4 linked regions of the Struthio camelus genome follow. The protein of the gene in region 1 purifies or fractionates together with the protein of each later gene. This does not show direct contact. Links are inferred from orthologs where the notes say so. Each region holds a gene or a part of one and is shown on either strand. Other genes may lie near its edges. The genes, in order: IFT57, IFT74, IFT88 and IFT80.

Evidence for each region.
Region 2: the proteins of IFT57 (region 1) and IFT74 purify together in Homo sapiens (affinity purification with mass spectrometry; 3 studies listed by BioGRID and IntAct, counting the BioPlex papers as one, with this or other methods). This does not show direct contact. The link is inferred for Struthio camelus from reciprocal best matches to the Homo sapiens genes IFT57 and IFT74.
Region 3: the proteins of IFT57 (region 1) and IFT88 purify together in Homo sapiens (affinity purification with mass spectrometry; 3 studies listed by BioGRID and IntAct, counting the BioPlex papers as one, with this or other methods). This does not show direct contact. The link is inferred for Struthio camelus from reciprocal best matches to the Homo sapiens genes IFT57 and IFT88.
Region 4: the proteins of IFT57 (region 1) and IFT80 purify together in Homo sapiens (affinity purification with mass spectrometry; 3 studies listed by BioGRID and IntAct, counting the BioPlex papers as one, with this or other methods). This does not show direct contact. The link is inferred for Struthio camelus from reciprocal best matches to the Homo sapiens genes IFT57 and IFT80.

The regions. Positions count from the first base shown.
Region 1 is NC_090942.1:101,228,885-101,236,081, reverse strand, and holds the start of IFT57 (intraflagellar transport protein 57 homolog), read left to right. Parts: upstream 1-4,180; 5' UTR 4,181-4,200; coding exon 4,201-4,391; intron 4,392-4,645; exon of another isoform or gene 4,646-4,714; intron 4,715-7,197. UniProt on the Homo sapiens protein: Required for the formation of cilia. Plays an indirect role in sonic hedgehog signaling, cilia being required for all activity of the hedgehog pathway.
Region 2 is NC_090982.1:5,382,935-5,390,065, reverse strand, and holds the start of IFT74 (intraflagellar transport protein 74 homolog), read left to right. Parts: upstream 1-4,115; 5' UTR 4,116-4,117; coding exon 4,118-4,225; intron 4,226-4,241; exon of another isoform or gene 4,242-4,504; intron 4,505-4,508; exon of another isoform or gene 4,509-4,535; intron 4,536-4,710; coding exon 4,711-4,851; intron 4,852-5,302; coding exon 5,303-5,438; intron 5,439-5,958; coding exon 5,959-6,007; intron 6,008-6,866; coding exon 6,867-6,965; intron 6,966-7,127; coding exon 7,128-7,131. Other genes in the region: PLAA (phospholipase A-2-activating protein), read right to left, coding at 77-177, 1,773-1,820, 3,971-4,070. UniProt on the Homo sapiens protein: Component of the intraflagellar transport (IFT) complex B: together with IFT81, forms a tubulin-binding module that specifically mediates transport of tubulin within the cilium. Binds beta-tubulin via its basic region. Required for ciliogenesis.
Region 3 is NC_090942.1:203,815,885-203,822,710, reverse strand, and holds the start of IFT88 (intraflagellar transport protein 88 homolog), read left to right. Parts: upstream 1-3,812; 5' UTR 3,813-3,970; intron 3,971-5,055; 5' UTR 5,056-5,061; coding exon 5,062-5,151; intron 5,152-5,747; coding exon 5,748-5,810; intron 5,811-6,513; coding exon 6,514-6,570; intron 6,571-6,826. UniProt on the Homo sapiens protein: Positively regulates primary cilium biogenesis. Also involved in autophagy since it is required for trafficking of ATG16L and the expansion of the autophagic compartment.
Region 4 is NC_090950.1:31,179,370-31,186,197, forward strand, and holds the start of IFT80 (intraflagellar transport protein 80 homolog), read left to right. Parts: upstream 1-3,812; 5' UTR 3,813-4,028; intron 4,029-4,564; 5' UTR 4,565-4,709; exon of another isoform or gene 4,710-4,731; intron 4,732-6,290; 5' UTR 6,291-6,341; coding exon 6,342-6,378; intron 6,379-6,828. Other genes in the region: SMC4 (structural maintenance of chromosomes protein 4), read right to left, coding at 769-895.

The sequences.
Region 1 (7,197 bases):
CTGCTAACATCAGCCTTCTTTTCCCTTTGCATTTGCAAGTGGTGTGCATCATGTTTTCCTGATCAACACCTTTGCCCGCTTGTCCCTCACCTCCAGACTTGATTAATGCGATAGATAGGTCATGCTTGATGCTTGAACTTTAGGAACTGGAGTCAATGCTAACTTTCCTTCAGTAAGCAACCTGACACGTTATTAACAGAGAGCTTGTGCAGTTTGGCAGTGATGCTCGGGGAACAACACGGATCCAACGGTACCTCTGCACTGCCTTTGTGGCCTGCATCTGGCTCACCTGTTCTAACTGCACTCTGTAGTGCTGTAGTACAATACAGCAGCGGAGCCAGTTCGCTGGAAATTTTCCCGTTTAGCACAGATCTTAGCTTTGGGTTTTCCCACTGTAGCATGTTGTAAGAAGAAAAGAGCAAGAGTACTAGTCACTAAAGCAGCTGAAGCCTTAGGCTGCAGCCAAGGCCAGCTGGAGCCTGTTTTTACAGAACAAGGAACATTTTAACAGTTGCAGGTAACAGTCACAGAGGTGACCTAAAGAAACCCCTCGCAGCAACAGAGAGTGCCAGCGGACCACAAGAAAGCGAGTAAGAGAAGTCGCGAGATGGGTTAATAGGAATCAGACTATGGCAGAGGGTGCTTGCGATCGGGTTGTAACCAGATTAATCAAACCAGGAGCCTGTGGGTGGAGTCCCTCCTTGGTGGCACCCAGCTGAAGCTGTACCTGTATTGTGCATAATAAACCACTTTTTTTGTTTAGAAAAATATTCACTGCTGAACTGGGAAAATAAGTAGAGACCTAGGGTTGAGCCAAAACAGTTGGAGGTGACAACTGAGTAATTCCTCCAGCAATTCTGGGTGGCAATTGCGTAATTCCCGCAACAGCCTTGAGAAAAAGGTTTGTTGCTGTAAGTTACAGAACAGCTTCCTTATAGCGATTAATTATGCTCTTAATGACTCTGAAATTTAGAAGAGAGACAGTACAGGAGGGTAGAATAGAAGGTGAACAGGGGAAAGACCATTCACTAGGTCCCCCAATGCTGAAACTAGGATGACACCAAACGAAATAAATACCATGGCTGAAGTGTAGAAACCGCTGCCATAGAAAGTTCTGGATGCCAAAATTCCTGTGGATTAGAAAATGGCTAAGCAAAATCCCACTAGTCCTTGCCTGATTTTTATTTTTGAGCAAAAAGAACCTCTACTCTAAGTCAGAAAGTCCTTCCGCCAGTGACAGCTGGGAGGGGGCATCAGGAAAATATGATTCACATCTGTCCCATTCTAGGTCTGTATAACCATGGTTGTCAAAAGAGGAGTTCTGAAAAATACAAGTTTTCAGTTAATTTCATTCAAAGCTAAAAACTAGCTCCCTGCACACTTGCCAATTTCTTTCTTCATACCAAAAGATTAATACCATTCCACCCTCTGCACTTCTACAGAAAATCTTGCAGATTGTAGGCTCTGGCAAATACGCTTTTCAAAATTTGGGGCCTTATAAATATGAGGTAAATATACGCTGATATTGAGAGTCCCACTGCAAGGTACCGAAGAAACAGTCTTCTTTTCACTACAGACCGAACTGGCATTACCAAGAAATCATATTCTGTATGTGGCTGTTTGGTGAAATACCAATACAAAATTATTTAAAAGAACAGCATTCAACAAGAATTAAGATCACTGTAGTAATGCGAGTTACTGCTGCTCCACTTTTCAGGGCTTATTTCATATAGAACAACCACAGACTCAATTTGATGGCAGAAGCTCAGCCAGGTTTTCTGACAGCAAGGCAAGGCACTAAAATGCTTGTCCCAAGAACACATACAGGTAGGTCAAGCACCAAACAGCTGAGATAGTGGCAGGGGCATCAGGAAACTTGTTTTGCCCACTGGAAAAAAAAAAAAAAAAAAAGAGACATCAAAAGGCAAAATTTTTTTTATTGGTCAGTGATCAAACCACATGCACCAGGTATTGTATCATGCAGTACTTTGCACTCCACCTGCACCTTGATCAAAAGCATTTACTTATCACAGAGATACTGGGACCAATCTCTGTTTAATAACCTTTTCTTGGTCACGTGCTTTTGGAGCGGCCACGCATATTGTAACATTCTCATAGCACTGTCAAAAGTTATTTATTCTTTAATAGAAAGGATTCTGATTTATTCCTTATCAAGGTAGCTGAACAACAGCACATTTCAAGCACACGCACCCTTGCGTGAACTGGAAATACAAGAGGATTTCGAGTTTTATAAACAAGTTTGTTTTCGAGCAAACAAACAAGACAATCAAACATGGAAAAGTTGAAAAAAAAAAAAAAAAACCACGTTAAGCACATACTGATAAAATCCTGTACTAGCCTTAACTTTCCAAAATTTTCCCACTAAATCTTCTGGAGCCATTTTAGGTAGTATCAATCCTCTGCCTTCCCCCAGCTAAAACTCTATGAGTTAACTCATAACTCCCGACGTGAGAAACGCTGAGAAACGCTCCGGCAGGAAGGCGGCTCCGGCATTCTAAACAGACAAACTTTTTTTTTTTTTTTTTGGGGGGAGAGAACCTACAATACTGGCTTTTACCTCAATATATGTGTCTAGCCCCCCTCCCGCCCATATACTTTTAACACTGGAGTTGTTAAAAGATTTAATATTTTTACCTCTTCTGGCTTCACAAGTAGCCCAGCAATTCAGAGTCCTGCCAGTTGTGTCAAGTAAGCCAGCTGTTTCTTAGAGACACATATAAACCGAACTGCTCCTCCAGAGACCTTTCTCCTCCAGAATGGTAGAAGTGCATTCTTTCCAACTTTTCTCATGGCCACACATACACTCACCAGACCTATATGAGCCGCAAGTTCACTCCTCTTCCACAACAGAGAGTAACTGTTTCTATACCAATCCTTTGGGAGTGCATGGGCGCAGTAGCATCAACGCCCTTCATAAAGGCCAAAGCTTCCACCCCTCGGCGCTCACTGCTTTTGCTCTTAACCACCTCTTTCGCCTAGCTCAATTGAACAAACATTGTAATAACGCAGGAAAAGCTGTAACTGAGTAATAAAAAAATATTAATTACGGCCAAAAACGTGGTTGCGCTAGCAGCGGCAACACTGCTTTGGGATTGCAATTGCGCATTGCCAGAGCACAAGCACTGTAGCCCCAGTAGAAAGACTGACAATACTCTTATTTTTATTAATGCATAATTTAGGAATCTCACTCGTGGATTAAGAGGTAAATTCTGTATAGACAGCGGACAAAAAGAACTTACAATCTTAAATATAAAACAAGATGCAAATCAGTACGACAGCGTTCTTGGAGAGCTGGTAATCTTAAAGGAGAACAGTACGCGCATCAGGCTGTCTTGCGGCATTAGATAACCGATTTCCTCTTCTCTTAGTAACTCACTAGTGCTTCATTTTCTCCGGGCAACCGAAGTCCCACAGTAGTTGGCTTCCAACAGAAGGAACCGATAGCACCACTGAAATTAACTAAATAAAAAGCAGGGGGAAAAAAGTGAAAGTTTCTTTTCTGCAAAAAAAAAAAAAAAACCCGAAACAAGCGTTAGCAGCAGGACTAACTAACTAACAACTGGTCTGCTGCTTTCCTCCAAGAACTGGCTTTCCCATCGCCTTTCCTTCACACCCCGCCAGCGAGGGCGGCCCCGCCAGCACGCCGTCTGTTACAGCGGATGCACAGCCCTAACCCCCTTCCACCGCAAGGCTCGGGGGTACCTCCAGCTGTGCACTACACACCCTCACTCCAGCCGCCAGCGCACACAGCTGCTACCTGCCATCAACACCTGGGGACTGCCTGACCGCCGCAGACGGCGGCCCGAGACCCGCCGAGGCAGCCCCCTGCTCCCGCGGCCACCTACTGGGGCAGAGGAAAGCGCGGCGCTTGGCCGTCGGTTAACGCGCCCGGGCTCACCGCAGAGGGGAACAAGCCACCCTCCCGACTAGCGGCCATGTCCGTCCCCCCCCCGCCGGGGCTCCGGCTCCCGCCGGTCCCCGCCGCCCCCTCGGTGCGCAGCCCCAAGCGACCACGGCGACGCTTTACGGTCCGTCCTCCCCACCCCCCCCACACCTCCTCCGCGGGGTGGGCGGGGCCGCAGCGCGCCCTAACGCAGCGCTGATTGGATGCGCCCGGCTCGCACTGGAGATTGGTGGAGCCGGTTGCCGCGGCAGCGGTGGGGGTGGGTTGCCGCCAAGATGGCGGAGGAGGTTGGGAGCGGTGGCGGCGGCGAGCAGCGGGGGGACGAGGCGGCGGCGGTGGTGGCGGAGCGGGGCCCGGGCGCGGCCTATCACATGTTTGTGCTGATGGAGGACGTGCTGGAGAAGCTGAAGCTGCTCACCTACGAGGAGGAGGCGCTGCGGCGTCACAACATGCGGCCGCTCTCCAGGTGCGGGCCCGAGGGCGCACCAGCGCCCAGCAGGGCCCGAGGAGCAGGGCGGGGGGAGCAGGGCAGGGGCTCTGCTGCTAGCGGCGCCCGCCATCTGCTCCTCCTCCTTCTCTTCCTTCTCCTCCTTCTGGTACGGGAAAACTGGGAAATTCCGCTGCCTGTGGGGAATTGGGGCCCAGTCCTGTCAGGGCGCACAGCTGGGGAGGGGAGGGGAACCGCTTCGGAAGCTCTCATGGCGTCCCCTGTGCCCTTACCGTGTGCTGTCACTGGAGGCAAAGGCTTCAGCGGCCGTCTGTGCCGTGGGAGCAGGCGCCCCTTTGCGTTGCGGGCCCGGAGTTTGTGCGGGCACGTGGGAAGGGCTGGTGACTGGGGGCTTCACGAGTGCTGGCTGCTGCAGGCCAGTGGGCTATCATCTTGGTCGCGCTTGTGGTGCCCACGTCTCAAGTTTGGCTGGGTTAAGACTTAAACTGTAGGTGTTGGAGGCATAGCATGAAACTCTTGACTTAAAAGTTTGTAGCCTTCTTGGTTGCAGTGAAAAGCATCAAAACGTGACAACGAATATGCACATCAAAGATGCTAAATCCAGATGTTAGTAGAAAGAAATCCCAAAATCCCAAGTATTCTAATTCTTCTTTTTTTTCCCTTCCCCTCCTCTTTTTTTTTTTTTTAAATCTATTTAATTCCTCATTTTGGGCTATAGTAAACAGCCCCATAGATCTTGCAAGAAGTCTTCACATATCTCACATAAATGATACCACCGGGTTTGGCGTCTTATTTAAGGCAAGATAACAATTATTGGAAGACAAAAATTATATTAGCAAAGCTGAACACATTCAACTTGATGGTTCTGGCTTTCTATGTTGGTTGTTATGTTTAAAATACACAATGTCAAGAGGCTGGCCTACAGATGTTTTTAAAGATGAAGAATTATTATTAAGATTGGTTTAAAAAACTGTTGTCTGTTCATAGCTGTGGCATATCACGGTTAACACTTTAGATTAAAAAAAAAATCCTGCTTTCAGTCAAGGTGGGAGTGCCTGTTGTAACAGCATATTTATAAAGACTTTTAAGGAGAATGAGGGAGATGGAGGACGTACACCAGAAGTTAGGACAGGAAGATGTGAGAATAAATACATTAAATGTAATAAAAATATAAAGCTTTTAAAAACTTACTTTTATGCTCTGTAGGGGAAAAGGAAAATAATTTAAATTTCTTTACTTGGTGATGACATTTAAAACTACAGTCATTTCATATCACCAGAGAACTTGTGATGATTTTTGTTAGAGCATGAGGTTCACTCATTGCATGGTCACTTTTTTCTGCAAGTATTTTGAATATCAGTTTTAGCACAAATGCTACTTGATTTTCCTGCTACTTACAGATGCAGGAAGAAACAAAAGCTGAAGGCCACAGTTGCTTTCATAGGCACAGTTGGTCACATAATGAATACAATACTGTGGTTTATGCTGTGGTTTCAGTGATAACTTGCAGTGAAAACATTATATTAGATCAAACAGCTCTTGTTAACTTCTGTTAGCACCTGAGTGTATTTTTTTTTTTTATTAGTCAGGGTAACTATTTGTGGGGTAGGTGTATTTGTGAGAGGCCTGGGACCCATTGTTGTTTTAAGTAAGTCTAACTTTCCATCTCTGGTGTATCTTTATTGCATATATAACAAAACTCTTTTTTTAAATGATGGCACCAGAGAGACGTTTAGGAAAAGGACTGATGTGACCGCAACATTCATCTGCCCCAATGACTTTCAAATCTATCAGACAGTTTCAGCTAGGTTTGATAGAAGTATATCAAACAGGTATATTTTCTAAAACCAGCAGTTGTTAGGGGAAAAAAGTAGTCCAAATTAGTCTCTTGTTAAGAGAGAGTCTAGAGTATGAGCTCAGCTTTTATAAGCTGTTTTTAGGCAGCTGTCTGACCATCAGTATATTTTGGGGAAGGAAACGGACACAGGCTTTGTCTGCTTTAGTGAGTGACCGTATCGTAAAGGGAAACAGTTGATTCTGCGTAACTGGTGCCCACGCTACATGCATTTTGCGGGACTAACTGTAGTCTGATCGTGTGGACTGAATTGTTCCAGCCCACGAAACGCGCTCTTGGACCACATCTTTCAATTTACCTTCATCCAGAATAAGCCTAGTTTGTATACCCGCTCTGTAATGTGACCCAAAGCACAGTAGGTGGGGGGGATAGCGGAAGAAACACTTCAAAAGCATGCTTGCGATCTGAGCTTATACGCTTACTTAGCTACACCTTCTTGCTCACGTGGTAGTTGAGGGGCATGGGAAGGGGAAGAAGTTTGGGGGATTTTGAAATAAAAGGAGCTGGATGTATTGCTGTTGTCAGGAAGAGTCACTGGGGATGTTAAGGAAGGAACAGAAGGTAGAGTTACTGTGGTATAGGACAGTACGCGGACAGAGGTCACATCTCTAGGCAACCAGGCTTCGTGAAGTTTGTTCTCTCTTCCCCACAGAAGTGCCGTTCAAGTTGTCGTGCGGTCACTTGGAGGAATAAAATAATCTTTATATAACATGAGAGAGGATATTCATATGACCCAAATGCAGATACTTTTCTTTGAGCTGTTTGTCTAGACCCCTTTCACTAGGGAGAAATAAGTATTTCTGAAGCATTTTTCAACTTACTCTAAAGCAAATAAAAGGTAGATGAGACAAATCCACCCTGGCTTCCTGTGTCATGAGTACAAGCATAAAGCTTTAGCAGTAGATCATGTTCATGTCGTTTTTTTAGAGTAGGCTATTTGTGACAGTAGTTATGAGGCCATTTTGGTAA
Region 2 (7,131 bases), on another chromosome or scaffold:
AACCAACATTGTTGATTTCTGTTGACAAAATTAAATTCATAAAGCATCTGTTTAATACTCACGCAGAACTTCATACCTGTAATGTCATCATACATCTGTCATTCAACCACACTTTGGCTGTTGTATCCCATGATCCACTTAGTAACGTGCCAAATTTCCCGGATGAAAGGCTGCAAACTGAAATGAAGGTGCCAATCAACACTGATATGTTTCCTGCATTATCAGCAATCTTAGACTTGTAATTTAAGCAGATTCATTTAAGGAGATTTAGTTCTATTAGCAGCGTTCTATTTAGCAGCTAAATTTCTCTTAGCACCCATTCTTTCCTCCTTTAATTAAGAATAAGTTGACAAGCAGGGCAAAAAAATCAGTCAAGACAGAGAATTAATACAACAATTTCCTTGTAAGATTAATGAGAAAGCCAAGATTTTGTCAATTTGTGTTAATTTATGTCCTCAGGAAACAAGACTTCATAGCAAAGTATTCAACTCATCTTCTTGGAAGGCAAAATACTTTACTGAGAAATAGTGCTTAAATTCAAAGATTTATTTAACAAATAATAATCTGCAAATGCTCCAGTAATACGCTGCTATAAAACCGCTATAGTGCTAAATAAAGTTCTAATAACCAATAACTTCACAAAAGCAGTTAAATCATGAGCAGAGTATATGGTCCACCCGACTTTCATAAAAGAAGAGTACAGCCTTCTGTGTCTTGCTTCTGTGATGCAGTAGTGAGAACTGGATCGTATTCCAGCCTTGTCATCAAACAAAATAATTATTCATGCCCTAGTTTTTCCCATTTCTAAAGTAGATTTATGATTAATCTGAGCTTCACAGTACTGTAAAAATTAATTTAATTATTTCTAAACATTTCATTGTTAGGTTGCAGGGGGCAGTACATAACCTCTTTAGAACACCCTCATCCCTTTTTACAACTCTGGGGGGAGCATGTCACATGTTCTGTTATTGACTCACCCCCATCCCAGCTTCCCATCCAAGTACATAAGCTATTTCTTGCCATCTTATATAATGATATAAGAAAGCAGAAAAAGAGTCCAAAACTTGAAATAATAAATTTTGCATTCTATAATTATGAGAATAGACCATTCAAAGGTGTATCAAATACTAGATCAGCTCACAAAAAAAGAATTTAGTATGCTAACATGAAAAATGCAGAATATTTTATTATATTGCTCAAGGAAGGGTACGTAATACCGTGTTAAACATCACATGCTGCATTGACCAGAATGAAGAGAGGGAAAATTTCTGCAATGTACTTTTAGACTTCATTACGTATCTAGAGCATCAACTAATATTAGATCCTCGTCTGAGTAACCAGAGAGTGAAAGTTTCTTTATCTGTTTAGGAAACTCACTCTTGCTACTGCTATCAGTTTAGATACAGAATTATGCTTAACAAAACACACGGCTTGTAGAGCAGACTAAATGGATTGCTTCTTAAACATGAAGCTCTTGACAAAATGAACATCATTCTGCTACGCCTGTAAGTTGGCATGTGATATAATATATAGAGAGTTTATACAGGAAAAGATCATACATTCATAGTGCAAACTAGGAAGTCATTGCGACTGACTGGAACTGCATGAACTGAAATTATAAAATCGTATTTGTAGAGACTGTAGTTAAACAGTTCAATATATTAAAATACCAGTGAATTCAACATACAGTTTTACAACTTCAACTTATTTTCCTCTCCAGCATATCATAAAAACTTTTATGCAACAAACTCTAAAACAAAATTACTACATACCTGTGTTTTTATGGCCCTTCAGGACATAAAGAGGAGCTGGGTTGTCAACTGTGAAAATGCAAATATTATGATCATTGCCACCAGTTGCAATCAGCCCACGAGGATACAGGTCACTTGGAGGTATGATGCACACACAAGATACAAAATTTGAGTGGCCACTCATACAGTGCATTTCAGTAAAACCCCTGTTAAGACTAAACATATGCGATAATCAGTTTAGAGTCATGACAGAAATTACTTATTTGAGGCACTGAAATATAACAGGTGTTTGACAATCCAATTCTTGAATTAATACTTATCCTTACAATGGGTTAAATAATACACTATGGATTACTTACAAAGATGATAATTTAAGAGAAAAATTTATTCTGAAAACCTAGCCCAATAAGCAATAGTTAAAGTTTTTCACTTATTTATCAAAAAGTGAGGGGCCTGGAAGGACGTAATTATATTTTTCCTGCTCATTGGCAAACACTATGGCCAATGTGACCAGAAGTAGTTGTAGCTACAATTTCTCTGTAAGAAATTCTTGGCTGTCTGAAGACAGAAATACTTATTCCAGTACACTGTAACAATAGCAGACTACGTAAATAGAGAAGAAAGCTTACTGACTGTAAAATCTATTCACTGGCTTTTAGTTATGAGCGCTATAGCAGATTAATAATTAATGGATTATAACTGATTCAAGTAGCACCCTTACTTCTCCATCTTGAGCCAGCCTCAGTAGGCAGAGCACTCAACAAGGGCAGGGGAGGAGGGAAGGGGAGGGAGAAGCGGTAATCTTCCCCACTTGATAAAGGTTTTATTTCAAAAAAACCATATACCATTTTACATTTTCATGTTTGCATTCTAAAGCTTGGAAGAGGTAGGGAGGCTGTGATATTTTTCTAAATTCTAAAATTTACCTTTCTGCCTTTTCTGCCAAAGCTATACAGAAAAAATGCAGGTAATGATGTACCTTCTGCTGAAATTTGAAGTATAAAAATAATGTATATAGTAGTTTGCTTATCTACTGAACCCTGTCTACTGTAATCCCACATCTTCAAAGCAGAAAGATGATCAATACCTACACTATGACTTTAAGTTACCTATATCTTCCTCTCACAACCCTCAAAAATGAGAGGTCAGAACTAAAGACTTCCTTTCTTGCAAAAAAATTTTAAGCAATTTAAAAACTTTTTCCTTTAGTGAGGTACAATCCAACAGCATGTAGCAAATTATTATTCCTCACTCTTAACTGCAGAGCAGCATACATCCACTTAATAAAAACGTATGCAAGCATGCCAATTATCTCTGCTTCACAAGAAAGGCAGCGTAAAGAACACGCACGCCTGGCAACTTCAGCATACAGTAACCTGTATCTCCACCATCTCACATCCACACTGCTTAGCAGTACCTCTTCTGATCATAAAGACACACTGAAAAATTCACTAAACGACTGGCAAATCCGCTTGCAAACCACACTGTGTAGCAAGAATATGAGACAAAATAACAGATTTCCTTTCTATTCCACTGTCTTGGCCTATTTGTGCTTTGTCTGTAGTTTCATTCATGTTTCATTTCATGTTCTTAGAAATCTGTTCAGCAAGAGGACTAAAGACTTTTCGTAAAACATTTTAAATACAGTGCCCTATTATCCATATAGGAATAGTTTTACATAGTAAAATTACTTTGACATTGAGTAGAGGGAGATGAAACCGACACCGAACATCACCTAGAAAGCAATGCTACATTCACAGAGATTACCAGCTTGCATAAAGAATACTGAAACGTCGAAATACAGCCCATGGTTGGGCAAACACCACGTTCCCCAAAAGATGGCCTGCTCTGGGGGAAAAAAAGCACCACGGCCATCCACAAACCTGACGGCTCACCCTGAACTCCTGACAAAAACACTAGTCAAAAAAAATCACTACCGCCGCGCACAAGCCAGGCGCATCTCCCCCCCTCCCCCCCACCCCCGCCGCAGCCGATGAAGCAAAGCGGTCCCAAGACCGGCAACGGCGGCTGCCAGCTGGGCAGTCCGCGCGGACCGGCATCGAGCTCCTGAGGGAGCAACCGCCGGGGCCCTCGCCGGGGCGGCAAGGCCCAGGGAAGGCACCTGCAGCTAAACCGTCGCCCCTTGCTCCCCCAGGCCCGGCCGCGGCGCGGCCCCCCTTGGCTCGGCGGCCAAGGCGGCGGCGCGGCCCAGCACTCACCCGTCGGGAGCCCAGAGCCGGGCAGTTCGGTCCCGGGACACGGAGACGAAACCACCCTGAGGGAAAAGGCCGCTGGTGAGGCCCCGCACGTCCTGACCATGCCCCGCCAGGGAGCAGCGGAGCCGGTACACACGGCCCTCGCCAGCCATGGCGGCGGCGCGCAGGAGGCCGACGAGGCGCTCTGACACAGCAACAATCTCCGCCGCCGCCGCTTCCGGAAACCGCCATCCACCGCGCCGGAAGAGGCGTCATCAGGCACGGGGGAGGGGGGGAGAAGGGCGTTAGACTCCATGTCCCAGCAGGGACCGCGCCACAGAGCGCAAGACGGGCAGGCGCGTGGCCGCCGCGGGGCCTCTGGGAGTTGTAGTCTTCACGGGTAGCTTGGGAGCGCGTCCTCCCCTCTCCCCTTGCAAGCGCCGTCCGGAACGAGATTTCTGAATCTCGCGATAGCAGGGAGCCGCGGTGGTTGGCCCGACGGTTGCTGCGATACCGGCGTCGTTGTCGGCGGAGGCTTAACGGCCGCTTGGGTGTCCGGTGAGGGCGAGGGGCCGTTGCTGCCTGCGGGGTATCTGTGTCCGCCCGGGCGGCCATGGCGGTCGCGGGTAGCGCGTAGTACCCGCGCCCCTCGGTGGCTGCTGGCTGTCCTTGGGTGCCGCCGCCCCTCTGCCTCTAGCTCTTTTCTCTGGTACTTTTTAAGAATCACTGCAAATCAAAGCACTACTTATTATGCTTCTTTCTAGGAGCAAGTTCAGAAGGAAACAGATATGGCCAGCAACCACAGGCCTCCAACAGCACGTCCTTCTTCAAGAGGAGGAGTAGGGGTGACAGCAAGGCCTGCCTCTTCGTTAAGGACTCCATCCGCAACCAGAACAGGAACAGCGGTGTGTTAAAAAATTGAATGTTGACTTTGATGTATTTAGATTTTTAACCAGGTTTTGGTAATTTTTCATGAGACAAACCATGGGTACCGTGACTGGGTTGATAAGTTCTCAGGAAGAAATGTAGGTTTTCTTGCTTTGTAAGCTCTGTAACGTTGAGTGAGAGGGGCCGAGGAAGTCTTGCATCAAGAGTTCACCTGGTATATCTTAAAAGCAGCAATGTTTCAGATGGAAATAGCAGTGGACAGGTTGGTCAGTGGTAATCACTTACCTTCCTGCAGCTGGACACTTGACTAAAGCTTGTTTACTGGGATATGTACAAATACTGACAGATTCCTAGGCGAACAATCTAAAGTTTAAAGGAGTCTCACTGTTAAGGTTTAATTGATTTGACAGTTGCACAGGGATAAAAAATTCATAATTCTGAGTTGAGATTTTTTTTGTTTTTGTCTAGATGCCTCCTAGTACATCAAGACCTGGTTCTCGTGGTGGTTCTTCAAGTACTGGAGGAGTGTTGCCATCTCAGATTAAAGTTGCAGACCGTCCAGTGACACAACAGGGATTAAGTGGAATGAAAATGGGAATGAAAGGTATTTTTTACTAAAGACAGCTATCAGCATGTCTGAAATATTTTTAAAGTAATATTTAAAAGATTTTAGAGGAAAACCTTTTTTATTCCAGAGTGCAGAGTGAATAGCTATGACTGGCAGGAGAAAGAAAAGGGCGATTAACACATCCCTCCTTGGTTTTCTTTGTTTTTGGCAATCAGAAAAAAAGGCTTTTCTGTGTCTAAGCTTTGTTATGATGTTCATATCTCACTAAAAATCCTTAAAAAGAAGAGGAGGATATAAGCTTTATCTTCTTCCAGCACTGCAGAACAATAAAAAATATTTTGTTACGCAGCAAATTTCATATAGCTAATTGGGCAATGTATATCTCTACTGCAGTCTAAAATGAATTTCTGCCTTGCCCTCATTTATTTTAACCAGGTAAAATCATTTGAGAATACTAAGGATGTGGCAATTTACTGCTTGTAAGTACTGCAGATGGGTGTGTTTTCCCCCCCATAATTTACAGGTCATCAGAATATCATTTGCTCTCCTTTGACAGGTCCTCAGAGACAGATAATGGATAAAACCTATTATCTTGGACTGCTGAGGTATGTGTTAACAATGGAAGGCTTAGTGCGCTCGTCCCTTTTTGCTTTATTCCAAGGAATGAAATGCAGCAACGTGAAGTTAAGAGTTGTATTTAATGATAACATGGGATAAGTGGTGTTCATTTATGGTATTTCTAGTACAAGAGTTATGAAGGCTATTTTGGACATGCTTTTTAGGGGAGAGGAATTTTATGCTTGTGTCTAGATACAAGTAGATATTTTGGCCATTTTGTTGTTGGGCTTGTTAAGTTAAATGCACTCTCCGCAGTATTAGTAACATGAGCGTCAGACTTTTTGAGCTTACTCTGTGCCACCTGATAGGTCTGAAAGCTCCAGTTGTATGAAGCAGCATTTCAGATGACAGACTTTTTGGTGTATGCTTCTGTTTGGTTAGAGGCAGTCCTTGGATTATACGTTGAGCTAGCACTAAAAAAGGCAAGGCCATTGTGGAACTGTATTGCATATGCTGCTTTGTCACGTGATCACATTGCAATATTGAATGATCAGTCCTAAGAGAGGTTGTTTTTAAAAAGGGATCATAGCCATGTTCTGTGAAAAGATTCTGTGTTTTTTTGCCAATCAGCCTGAGAAGAATTCGTGTCTCTTTTAGTGATGGGGCAAAAAGCAAAACATTTTATTTCATATCCAAACATTCCGTTGATTGTCTCGGATTCTATCTGATAGAACTACTCTGCTTTTTTTCCTCATTTCTCCAGCTCTTCTTTCAAATAGCTGATTAGAAACATGATGCAGACCTACTGGTTGCACATAACTGATAATAAAGTACCACTGTCTCAACTATGTTTCAGTTGCACGTTTAAAATTGAATAATTCTTTTTTGTTTAATGCCTTTTTGCAGAAGCAAAATAAGTGACCTCACAGCAGAAATTAACAAGCTGCAAAAAGAAGTAGAAATGTACAACCAAGAGAATTCTGTCTATCTGTCGTATGAGAAAAGGTGAGATGTGTTGCAGCTAATGGAATTTTGGCTTTTTTCAGTCACAAGACTATATTCTAGGATACTGTGCAAGCTTTAGGGAACCATTAAATAATTATTTTATTTTATTTTAATATATGTAGTGCTTCCTTTTGTAAGTTTGGCTTTTTGTTTTGTGTTTAGGGCA
Region 3 (6,826 bases), about 100 Mb from region 1:
CACTGCAAAACTTCTGAACGTTTTGTTAGTCCAGAATTCAATACTAGAAAATTACTCACTTTCTAAAGTTTTCAATGGGAGCATTATTTTTTAAATCCAGACCATTTCCTAAAAACACATTAGGGCCTGACTAGCAAAACAGTTAAACTGAAAGAGCAAGGGTAAGGTACGCACTAGCAGTGATTATGACAAGCAGACTGTGGCCAGTAACTCTGAACCCAAATTATTAGCTGCTGGAACAGTTTTAGTCCTTACTTGCAATGTTACTGCTACAAAAAGATACCCACTCACCGTGCTTTTAAAGGCAAGGAAATGTCTACTGTTTAAAGAATATAGTTTCAGGGTCTCTTTAAACTGCCATAAATTTTCGCTGAAGAAACTAGATCAAGGACTTGACAGCTTGAAAGATAACGGGACAAAAATCCAATCGAATCCTCAGTTTGTTTCAGTTGCACAAACAGCTAACTTGATGCAAGGCAGAGGACAGACCCAGGGCAGGAATGAAGATCAGAAAGGTGAGAAAAGAGTGGGACAACCTCACTTAGTGATAGTGCTCACTTACTGTAACTTAAAGTGAGTAGGAATTTATACCATATAACTTTGCTTAGGCTATTTACTACTTCGCGGCAGTTTTGCATTCCAGGCTGTAGTCAGGATTTAGCCAAAGCCAGTGAAGTCAATTATATCATTTGGGTTTTTCCTTGTAGCATGATCTCATTAGAACATCTCTTAAATCAGGTCTAGTGAGAAAGGTCCAGTGTTGGCACAGAAGATCCTAATATTTCTGGGTCCTATGTTAAATCTTTATGCATTTATGTCTATTTATTCTATAATTCATAGGACATAAAACCGTTTGTAGATTGATACAGCTTTTAGAAGCATAGGAAAGGCCTGTTGGGACTCAAAGATGTTGTGAGGACTTCAGAAGCAGTACATAGACTGCAGGGCCTAATGAGGTGGACCAAGGAGGATTTGCAAGCTCCTGGCCCCAGGTGCGCACTAGGGCAATGTGGGCTACATGTGGCTGTGCCAGGGCCTGGAATCAACTGTCTATGCTATTAAATTGTTAAAATAGCCCCATCACAGTGTTAGATAATTATCATTCTCCTAAACAATTTCCAGTATGGTTTGGGATTCACAGCGGCCAGGGACCATTTCCTATAGCTGCTTTCAATGTGTCCACCCTATTTTGGAGGGGTAGGGAGTTTGATAATATGGCAATATGGTTGGGTTCCACTTGTGTCCTGCCACTCTTTCATGTACAAGGATAAATATAGATGCACTGACTCCTTAACATGGCCCCCTTCCCTCCAGTGCCCCAAATAATTGAATCGAAACATCACAACATGCTGGGCACCAGTATACCCAAGTTCTGGATATAGACAAGTGGCTCTTGCCACATTATGTATCTACTGCTCAGTTTGAATGTGTCTGAGGACAAACAGGTAATCTACAAGCCATAGTCTCAAATTTAAACGAGGAGCCACAGGTAGAAAAGGGAGACTGAACATGAATATATATGTTTTTTATGCTGAAGTTCATCATTTACGACAGGTTAGTCTCCTTAAAAATTCTCCCAGCTAAAGTCTGTTACTCTGCAAAATACTTGTTCTGCAAAAACTCCAGGTAAAAAATGTGTATGTCCAAAAGTGTCAGGTCTAGAGTTTCTGTGTGAAAGTGGTTCATGCATGGAACCTGAACAAGTTAATGCAAGAAGTGATAAAGTGTTAATACACTTTTGTTTTCTTTGTTTCTCTTGTTGGGAGCTGAAGTAGAAATACATTTCACTTATATCTTCTGTGCCTTATCTCTTATGAAAGGAATTGGAGGCTGCAAGAAGGTGAGTTCTGAGGTTGCATAACACTCACAAAACCTGATCATACAGAGGGTATTCTGACTGACCACTGCGTAGTGGCCTTATATCTTTCTTAGGCTATTAGCATAAGGCAGGGGTTCAGGTTACAGTCGGGCTCAAAGTTTTTTTATCTCTCAAAAATAATACAGAGTTCAGAGATCTCTCCTCTGTTCTCTCTGTTTTCCATTTATGGAAACAGCTATGGATCGCTACTTTCCCCAGAGTGTAATGATTTACTAATCAGCTGGAGAACCTGTCAGGTTCTCCATAACAGCCAACCAAGAGAAAGCAGTGAAAATAGTAGAAGAAATGAATCATCTTTTTTTCTTTGAAGACTTTACGAGCTTTAATTTTTTATTCAGTTTCAGAGATTATGGCAGATAGAAATCTTTATTCACTTTTTTAATTGGGACTTTTAGATCTGAGAGCAGATTTCTCACTTTATCTGAACACTGGTCTCCGAGACTCCACAACATCCGATGAGTCCTACGATGACTGTGGTGGAAGTCCGCCACCCATAGGTGTAGGCTGCAGGCTGAAAAAACATACGTTCCAGTGGAGCCCCATTGTACTCCAAAGGACACATAGTAGTCTGGAGCTAGAGAGAAGCACTTGCAAATGTCTAAAATGCCAGTATGGTGATGAGAGACGCGGAAGTATAAGACACCTGTGTGCGTCTCATTCATAGAGCAGGAGGTTTGGCAGCCGTTCAGGAAGCCGTTTACTTTACCATAGTGCTTTTCTCTTGCAAATAGCAAGTCTGTAGCATAAAATACCAGTTCTCACCACAGAACGATAGTAGGTTGGCTGTACTCTTGGGAAGACACAAAGAAATTTAAACTAGATGTAAGGATAAAACAATTGTTTTGGAAAGAGGAAGAGGGCAGATAAAAATAGGCAGCTAGGGTAAAAAGCTGATGAGAGGTTTTCAAGACCAGACTGGATAAAGCCCTGAGCAGTCTGGTCTGACCTCACAGCTGACCCTGCTTTGAAGTGCAGGTCGGACGAGAGACTTCCTGAGGTCCATCCCAACATGAATTATGCTAGGATCCTATAATCCTAACTTATGGAGGAGTCTAGATTTCTTTTGCCCGTTCTGTTGAATTTCAAATGCTCTCTGCTTAATGTTTCAAAAACATTAAGTCATTAATCCTAATAATCTGCCTTTTAGAGTAGATAAATATTATCCATATCTCTCAGATGGGTTTTTTTTTGCAGACACAGAATAGCAATGTCTAGCAGACAACTAAATTTGTTTGCATTTATTTTACTATTTATTGTTTTCCTTATCCCATGGACTACAGGTAGGCAGCCAGACAAGACTGCCGTCCTCTGCAGTGGTTTTCCATTCCTCTTCTGAAAGATGAGGAAAGCACAGGGAGAAGCAACTGTTGTTCATGCTTACATGGCGTGACGTGTTTTTGAATCCGTAGCACACAAGCTGCCCTTTTGGAAACATGCGTAACCTAACTCAGGAAATAGAGCTATTCACAAAATCAAGGGTATGCATACATGTTTGTGGGATCAGGTCAGAGTAAGTCCTAGAATGATCAAAAAGAAATCAAACTTAGTTCATATTTAGCTCTAGCTCAGCGTTCTGCACTGATTCATTTGAAAAAATCTGTCCCAAAGAGTTTAGCAGCAGTTATTTCCTGTCTGAAAGGTGGTCAGGGGGATTTCTGGGTTTGTGCCAGTTGCTCCCTTCAGTTGGGCTTTTGGGAGGGCAGAATTTTGTGGCTGTTTCATTTCAGCAACTGGGTGAGGGTTGGCTTTTTTTAACCCCAGGACTAAGCACGCCCCGGCAGAGGCAGAAGCCGCTCGGCGCTGAAGAGGCCCTGACAGGAAGCCGGCGGCGCGGGCTGACCCGCGGCCTCCCTTTCCCGCCGAGCTTTCCCGGACGGCAGCGACGCCCACGCGAGGGCAAAGGCGTCGGGGGCTGCTCTGCGTATGCGCCATCGCGGTGCGCACGCTCGACAGCAGCCGAGTGCTCGTATCTTAGCAACCAGCCGCGGTGCATTAGGGGATCGTGGTGGCTGGTATCTCCCTTGTCAACGCCGGCCGAGAGCGGGCGGCCTCCGCTGCGAGCGGCCGCGCCGCGCCGCGGAAGGGCAGCCGGTAGGCGACCGGCGAGCTAGGCCGCGGGCGGAGAGTGCGGCGGGGCACGGCGGAGGGCGGGCTGGTGTGGCAGCGTTGGTCCCCGGAGCTTCTTCGCCGGGGCGCGGCGATCCTGCGGCGTCGTTCCGCGCTGGGCGCTTGGGGCGGCTGGGCCCTCCCTCCGCCGTCCGCTGCCGCGGGCCCTGGCCGCGGGAACGCGCGAAGAGGAGCGATGCCGCCCTGCGCCGCGGGGGCGCCGCGCATGGCCCGGAGGGAGGCCCAGGGGTTGCGTGCTGCTGCTCGAGAGGAGCTGGCCCTCAGCGGGATGTGCGGCACTCTGGCTCGGGATCACTGTAGAGTGCCTGTGTTTCATACTACAAATGGAATCAAAAATTGTCACCTTCTTAAGTTCTTATGAAAGTAGGTAGCCAGGCAGAGAGACCTTAATAGTTCCTTCAGTGAGGAAAAGGCTGCAATGTAAACACAACCCTTAGTAGATGTCCGAAGTACCTCTGAAGAACGATATTGACAACTAGACTTCTTTAATTACAGTTTTTAAAAAGCTGGTTAAACTGAAATGACAGAATTGTGTGAAGAATTCTGCATACAGAGATTAGTTGCAGCCATGTTGGTATAAGGACACAGGTGAAGGAAGATGTGGAGCTGGAAGTGATATCTTTCATTAGACTACTATGGTTTGGTCTAATTAAAAGAAATAGCAAAACTCACAATTTGCTCAAAGCTGAATTATCTGAGAATGTAAAAGTACCATTATGAATACTATAATTACTTGTAGTGATCATTGGCATTTAATGATAAGATGAGTATGTCCGTTTAAAACTGCTGTTAAAATTTTGTCGTGACAATGGTGTAAGTGCTTGACAACCTGATTCTATTGGATGGTGCCCCTTAATATCATTGCTTTTTCAATAGAACCCTTTTTTTGGAATATATATATATATTTTTAATATCAAGGACAGCAGATATAAACCAAAATTAAATTGGAGCTTTTGAATTTGTAAACCTTGTTCCTGTCTATATTTTACATTTTTAAGGCATACATAATAATGCTCAGATAACATTTGGGTTGTTTAATGTTTTCACAGATAAAAATGATGCGAAATGTGCACCTGGCTCCAGAGGCAGATGAAGATGATCTTTATTCTGGATACAATGATTATAATCCCACTTTTGACACAGAGGTAAAAGTATTTGCTGTTTCCCACCTTCCCTTTGAATAGGATTAGTTTTTAATTTCAAGATAAGAATATGTAGGTACACTTATGTGCAAGTGTACTGCTGCTTTGAAGTCTGTTTTTCTTCATTTAGCAAGAAATACTAAATGGAGTGGAGTCCCTCTCCCCTCAGGTCTCTGTACGATCAATAATGCGTCTGGGATGATGTCTTAATATATTGGCATGACATGGATATTAATGTCAGTTAAAATTTAAAAACAGTGCTAATAATAAGCTTATGGACAGGAAAAAAAGTTCTACGCATGCTAAATTTTATCACTTAAGCTCTTCTTCATCATAGGATGTTACTGCTTTTCAGGGGATAATAAGTTTTTTACATTTCTCCCTAAAATGTAAAATATCAAAAGAGATAGGGCAAATAATGTAATCGTTACCTATTTGCAATACAACCTATCATTCAGTTGTATGCAGGTGAAGTATTTTTGAAGAATGATTATCTTTTACCTATCTGTTTTCAATAGTCCTAATAATTTGGAAATGTGGCTTTGAGTGCTGTGCTTTATGGGGTTAGAGGGTTGTTCTTTTTCTTTTTCTTTTTTCAGGATTTAGAAAATGATATAGCTTTTCAACAGGCAGTGAGAACAAGTCATGGTAGAAGACCCCCTGTAAGTATATTTTTAAATATGTCCAAATAGCACAGAAGTTCTCTGGAGCCCTAGCTCTATTTTTGGCTCTGATACACTTTTTTTTTTTTTTCCTGGTCTATTGCTAACATGAAGATACAAGCTTCAGTTATATGAAAAATAAGTAAAAATTAGCAGAGCACCGCTTCCATTATGCTCTGGAGTTAGGCTAGCAAGGAATTTTGTTTGGAAAAGTATGTTCTTGTTTGAGGAAATGAGTTAAAGGCTTGTTAAAGAGCAAAACGAGGTTCTGGAAGGACTTTCTGTTTAATATTCTATTCACAGAGGTGCTAGTCTTGATAGGTAACCTTAATGATAAGAAACTATAAAGTCTCATTCACAAAAACAGTTGTTCTGATTATTTTTCCTCCATTTCCACACAATTTACATTTATTTGCTTGCATTAGTTTTGCTGTGACTTAAATTTTACATAATTTTTCTAAAGAAATATAAAGTTAGCATGTGCACTGTGCTTGGAATATATGTTTTTTGTCTAAAGAAGAGCTGAAACTATTCTGATTAATGTTATTTATTCACAGAACAACGTGGTTCTACAGTGATATTCCTTTCTGTAACAATTTTTTAAGCACAATTATTTCTATGAATTCACTTCATAATTATTAGTCTTTTTATGTTGTCCGTTACACATGTGATTGCTTACTATTTTTTTTTTTTCTTCACCCAGATGACAGCCAAAATTCCTGGTACATCAGCTGCAAGACCTGTAGCTACTGCATTTGGGGTAAGTTTTTGTTCGCTGTTACAGATATTCTTAATGACAGTGAGGTGTTTGCCTTAAATATGAGCGCCGTTTAGTCCTTTGCATAAAATGATCTCCTTTTATCTTGGCATCTTCCTCCAGTGAGTTACATTTCTTGTTACTTTTGTAAGTGCACAACTCTTTACTTGGTCAAGGCATGGCTACTGATGTTTTTTCTCCCAAAGCATACCATGAATGAACTTCTCTGCTGTGTAGGGCTGTAGATTTCAAAATATTA
Region 4 (6,828 bases), on another chromosome or scaffold:
TTCAAGCGTGCTCACTGCAAGATTTGGGGATCGCTGCACAATGCTCTGAAAGCTGTAATGACAGCACAACTACTCTGCAAAGACAGGAAGTTTGTTACGAAAACAAACTGGCCCCCTGGATATCAACTACTTATAAGCAAAGCAGTCAGCAGTTACTAACAACTTTTTCTTCAAATAGACAGTACTTTGTCACAAATTTCAACATATTAACCCATTTGTCAAATACCTTGCTTTAATAATTACATAGCTGGTTAACTAAAGAGACACTAACTTCTGCTTTTCCAGACATTTTCAGCAAAAAGCTCAACTCAAAAAAACTTAAAAAAAAAAACAAAAACAAAAAAACCCTGCTTCACGAAAAAGAAAGTCAAATCGTTTTTAAGAGTTAAGTAAATAAACTTGACGTTTATTCCATTCCAAGAAATCCCATACCATTGGCTATGTATAAATTTGAAAAATCCGGCTGTTGTACCACAATCTTAAGTGCAATGTTACAGATTAGAAATCTCAAGTATAAGATTTATTAGAAAAAAGTCTACCAATTGCTTTTGCACTTGTACTAAAGGACCGGTCCAAATACTTTAACTCTTTGCAAGCCCTCTTTTCCATTTTAAAAAGTTTAAACTTGCCAAGACTCAAGGCTTTCAATATTCTAGAAGAGAAAGAACAGAGTACCTGGAATAGTTTGTAAATTCAACTGAACACCATTGCTCCACAGGCGCTATTGTCAAGTTTACGTGCCATCAGAATCATAATGTAGTAACCTACCTTGTGGAGGTACTTCACCAAGCTGTCCATCACCTTTGTCCACGTTCATGTCACTGGTGGACTCCTCTAAGGGCTCTCTGCCTTTTGCCTGGACTGCTGTAGAGGTTTTGGTGCTCTTGCTTGGCATGATTTCTGTTGGCTGTTCCCCTTCAATTCCAAGCAATCAAACCACTGAAGGGATCTATCTCCTTTGCTAACACAAACAAGAAAACCCCGTGATCTAAGCATTGAGCTACAATCCCCTAAGAAATATACCTATACGAATGTCCAGATGCTTGACTAATTCAGAAACCAAAGTCTAGATGTATTTTGAAGACAAAACTCTGAATTTGGAAGGAAAAAAAAAAAAAACACCCAAAGCTTAGTCTCATAAAAATAGATTTGAAAACATTCCCCCAAAACTGATGGACCTACCCTAATCGGTAGATACGGCATGAATTTACCTACTGAAAACCCATACAGCCATATTCAAAGCAGTTACTATGCTCAGAGAGAGCAACCCTGCTGCTGGGGGCAAAAGAGTTAAAGATACATTTGCAATAACAAACTGAGTAGCCATATGGCTATATCCTTCTGGAAGCACGCTTTACATACACCTTTCAGACTTGACACACATTTTATTTTCAACACTCCATGCTAATTATTAAGAAAAAAATACATAATTTAAGTAAAGTCTCAACTTTGGAGCAGTTTAGATCAATACCCTCACTTTGCAAAATACAACACAACCTCTACTGTTAGTGTTCAACATTTAACCGAGTAAGCGAAACAAAATACGTTAATCTAGTTCTGATGTTAAAGTTATCTGATCAAGAACGAAACCTTACAAAAGTCCATCAGCTGCCACTTAAGCACAGCTCCCAAAAAAGTGCAAATAGAAAGCAACCGATGAGAAGCAAGAGGACTGCAGGAGCGAAACTCTCCCCAAAGAGTTTAAACTGCAGCAAGTGGCGAATTCAGTTTGGAGAAAAACAGACATGAGAAAGTTTACTTCTCACAAGATAAAAAAAACTGACGTGGTTAGAAAGTCATCTTACAATTGGTGCCAATCATTTGACGTTTTCAGACCTACCCCCAACCCACACTCTCATGAGAGTCCTTCATTTGGGACAATGGGGGAGGGGGGAAATAAGAGAGAGGATTCGTTTTAAGGCAATTTGAGTCTATGCCCCTGTTAAGAAGTGTTCCGCAATGGCTGTCTCAAACAATTACAGTCTCTCAAAGTACCAGATTTTTTTTTCCAAAGCTTCTCCACTCAGAGTTGTGCAATATAGACCTATTTACCTTACCAACCCCTTTCCTCCGTATACGCCAACAAAATTAACAAGCGTAACTACTCGACTTCAACTTTTAAATTGTGATAGACCAGATATACAGACTCTCTAATAAACTTAACATATTCGTGTCGAGCCCCTCCCCCAAGTCAACTCAGAGGTGTTTGTTAAAAGCATCTCTCAATGATCTCCTGCCAAAGTGCCGTTTTTCTTGAGGGCTTGGCGAAAAGAAGAGTCAGAGACAGGCAGAAGGACTTCCTTATTAAAAGCTGATCAAATTTGATAGCGATAACCGATGTCAGTGAAATTTCCTTCTTTTTTTTTTTTTTTTAAATAATCAATCCGTCATTCTAAGGAATCCTACTGCACCTTTGTCCCGGTCTTAAGAAAATCCTTAGAGAGTTACAACGATTTAGCTTTCACGCCTCAGGCATAAAAGGAGTAGGCAGAGCTAGTTACGGAAGGGTCCTTGCTTCGTAAGCAGATTAAAATCGGGCGCCTGTATTTCGGGCACGCCGAAAACATATCACTTCCCCTTCATAGGTTGGTCTCCGATTAGCGGTCCGTAAGGATACAAGGGGAAAACCTGCTTTCTCCCCGACGCTCTCTCTTCCCCTCGCTCCTCACACGCATTTGCCGACACCCGCAGGGACAGAAACGCCGGCGGGGTTGGGGGGGGGGGGGGGAAGGGAAGCGGGCACCAAGCGGCGGGCGCCCCTCAACAAGAGCCCCGCGCAGGGCAGCCCCGACGGCGGGCCAAGGGGCTGCCGCCGCCTTTTGCCCGCTCAGGGTGGGGTGAGGGGAAGGAGGAGGAGGAGAAAGGAAGAATAAGGCACGGGGCAAAAGAGCCCGCCACCGCCCTCCGCAGCACCGTCTGCGCGGGGAAACTTGCTGCTCGCTCCGGGGAAATTTCCCGACGGCGGCTCCGCTTGCGGCGAAGGAAGGCGCTCACCACCACCACCACCTTCCCCCCCCCCACCGCCGCCGCCGCCACCTCCCCCGGCTCCACCTGCCCTCCGGCGGCTCTTACCCGAAAGCCCTGCCTCGCAAAACCGCCCCGACTGCTCCCGCCGAGCTGGTACCTGCGAGGACGGGCAGCGCCCGGCCGCGGGCCGGGCGGCGGGGGGGCGGCAGCGGGCGGCGGCGTTGGCGGTCCCGGCTCCCGCCGCGGCTTGGCGGCTTCCACACTCGAAAATGGCGCCCAAACGGCAAACTCGAACCGAAATTCGTTAGAAAGGCGCGGGGCATGCTGGGAAGGGAGGGGGCCGGCCTGCCGCGGGTTTGAACGCGGGGAGGAGGAGGGGAAAGAAGAAGGGGGAGGGGGGGGGGGAAAGCCCCGCTCCTGCGCCATCTTGTTTTCCGTTACTGCGCGGACACGGGGAGGGCTGAAAAAAACAACAAAAAAAAAAGCAAAATCAGTCCGTTCGCTTTTTTTTTTTGGTGGTGGTGGCGGGGAGGGGGGGAAAGGGAACAGGCTCTGTGGGGCAGCCACGTTGTTTTTTTGGCACCTGGGGGAGCGCGTCCGTATGTGGCGTAAAGAGGCTTATTTTAAATTTAATAGAAATAGGTCAGGGGGCGGCGCTCGGTTGCCGGGCGACGAGGCGCTGGGGGCCGCCGCGCGAACGGACGGTTTTTAAAAACGTGCAGAAAAAAAATTAAAAAAAATAGGAAAAAAATAATAATAAAAATAGCGCACGCTTCTAAAGCGGCGTGAACTAACGGGCGGCGCGGTGACGCCATGGAGTCGCGTCACCTGGTCCGGGGAGGGCCCGTGAGGTGGCGGTGGGGCGAGGAAGAGGAGAAGGAGGAGGGGAGGAAGAAGTCTCGCGGGAAGTAGCTATAGAGACCGAGCAGCTTCGCCGCGGCGGCGCCGGAGCTGCGACGGGGACGGGCGAGGCGGGAATCGCGTGGCAGCGGCAGCCGTTGGGGCTCGCGAGCCGCCACCACCGCCGGCGCCTCCCTCCCTCCGTCCCGCCGCTGCCTCAGGTAAAATAACGCGGCGGGGGCGGCGGGTCTGAGTCAGCGCCGCCACGGGGCGGCGGGTCGGGGGCGGCGGTAGGAGCGACGAAGCCCCCCCCCCCCGAGGGGAGCGGGCGCTGGGGCTGCGCTGGCACCGGCCTGGCGGCCGCGTGGCGGAAGGTCCCTCCTCGGGGAGGACGGGGAATTTTTGGGCCGCCTGGCGTGTTGCCGGCGGCGGCGGGGCTGGAAGCGCCGCGGACAGCTCCTGCCCCGAGGAAGCACCGCGTTACGTCCCGCTCTTCCTCCCGCGGCCTGTTTCCCCACCCGCTGCATCCACAGCCTTGCTCAACCTCCTGCCTGCCTCACGTTCCCCCCCCCCCCTTTTGTTTTTTTCCTTAAAACTCTCATGGAGCCGCTCCGGAGGAGAACTGGAGAGGAGACAACGTGGGACTGCGCTGTCAAAAAAAAAAAAAAAAAAGGAGGGGGGGCAAAACGGGCTTTGCGGGCGAAGGGAGGTGAGCCGAGCTCCTGGCGATGCCTCCAGCGCGGCCTCCTCCTTACAGCAGCATCTGCGGCTGGTGCGCTGGCGTTAAGCCCTGTTAGAGCGGCGGCGTCGACTGCGGGCGCCGAGGGAACGCGCTCCGAGCGGCGATAACCGGTGCGACTGTGTCCCCCCAGAAGGCTGCCTGTTTAACACGTAAAATAAGGGTGAGCCTTCCTTCTCCTTAAGGTACGCCCCAAGAGCGTTTAGAGCTGCGGTTTTCGAAAACCTGTTGTAAAATTCCCGTGGTGTCTTTGGGGATAAAAGAACGCGGAATCCACGTGAGACTTTTTTCAGGCTTTTTGGAGGCCTGCGTAGGGGGAGCGGAAGCTGACGGTAGCAGCCTGCCTGCTAAAACTCTAAATGAAAAATAAGCAATAAAAAATACCAAGCGGCCACTCAAAAAGTGCGTTTAGGCATGACGTGCGCAGAAAATAGAAGCGGGTAAGTAAGAGCCGCGCATCCAAATAAATGTGAGATACTCTGTTAAGCTGGAGTGATACCTGCGTTAAACTGAAGAAGACATATTTTAGTGCTGTTTTACTCCATATTTTTTTCTTTGCTGGGTACAGTCTTAAGGTTATGTTTGTAGAGTTTTTTCTAGCGTTCATGGTATGTAGACTAGCTCTTTAACTCACCGGTGGTAAGCTTTGTAGCGTGTGCTGAATAGCGATGTGGGTGCTAAGTGACACCATCACCACCATCTAGAAATCAAAGACATGATTCAAAGGCCGCTTTGAAAGTTCAACATAAACCCAGGCCCCTTTTAAGTGCCTTGATATTGAGGTCCTCACACATTTCTAGAGTAAGGGTAGGAGAAAGCAAGTAGACTTTCAAATATGAAAGATGTTGAAGTACTTAAAAATATGTTGTGTGCATTTTATCAGAATGAATGTAAAGTAGCGCTGAAAATAGCTTATTTTATCCTTTGGGCACAGAAAATTACATGTTTTAGGACTGTCTTCCTCTTAAGGCATCTTAAATTCTGCACAGTAACACATAGTAATTTCTATGCTGAAGAAATTCCAGAAGATCAGAAGGTCATGCTGGGCATCGTGATGCTGTCTTCAGAGTATACCACCTGCTCCGATCCTCTCCTCTTCACTTCTTTCCATCCTGAAGGGGGGGGGGGGAAAGAAGGTTTAACCTGGATCAGTGCCTCTCTCCTGTCCAGGCACAGACTCACAAAGGCCTCTGCTGTTACCAAAGGGAAGGAGAAGATGAGAGGGTGGGACCCAGTTGAACATCTTGTGGAATTACAGTGTTACAGCAAAACATCATGGAGGTTCCAAATACTTGTGGGTGAAAGAGGAAGATCATCATTTGGTCACAGCAGCGTTATTTTCATAGCATGGCTCTTTTCTCTAAATTTTCTTGTAATTCTCTGTTCAGGCATTTTAAGATGAAAATCACGTGAACGTTTGTGATTCCAGGTTTTCCCCAGCTACCTTCATGGCTGTCTGTCAGCACAAGAGAACTTCAGTGTTTCAACCTGTAATGTTTCAGCAAAATGCGGCTGACATTAGTTTTTCAACTTGCCTGGTGTGTTGATACTAAGCAGTCAGATATGTGTGCGGTCGTGTAGGAGAATTCAAGGAGAATTCCCTTAACATTCAGGTCCACGTTGGTGATTGTTGTGCCACAATACTCATGTAATATTATTTATTTCAAAACCTTTAATTTTGGTATTGCCATCTTCCTTTTTAATTTTTGCTACTTATATATGTGTTTATTTTGTTTTAATACAGTTATAACGTACCCAAAACATCTTTCTTTAATGCTCCATCTGAACAACTGAAATGAGACTGAAGACTTCACTTTTAAAGGAACCAAAACATATCCTTTCTCTCAGAATAAACCTTAGGACAGTACGTTAACTCTTTATAGCCTGTTTACTAGAAACATTTTCTTTAAATCATAAATGCCATAGTAAAATATTTGTAAATTGCATGTGGCTTTTTTTTTAATGTTACTGTTTTAGTGCCTCTTTTACAGGCAACGTTTCTGGAGATGTTGAACACTCTCATTGCAATACCCAGTGTTCTCTGCTTTTATCGACCTAGTTTGAGACCACTGGTGTTCAATACCCTGCAGAATTTGTCAATGTATTACTGGAAAGTTTTGAGGTTGAATTCTTTCCCACGTAGTAAATAGTATTTATGTATCTAATTGCATGCAGTAAGACACACACACGCACGCATACACTCGAGATATAAACAAAACTGTAATTTTTCTATTCTTAATAAATTAGATACTAACACAGTCTCATATATAAACTGTTGACAT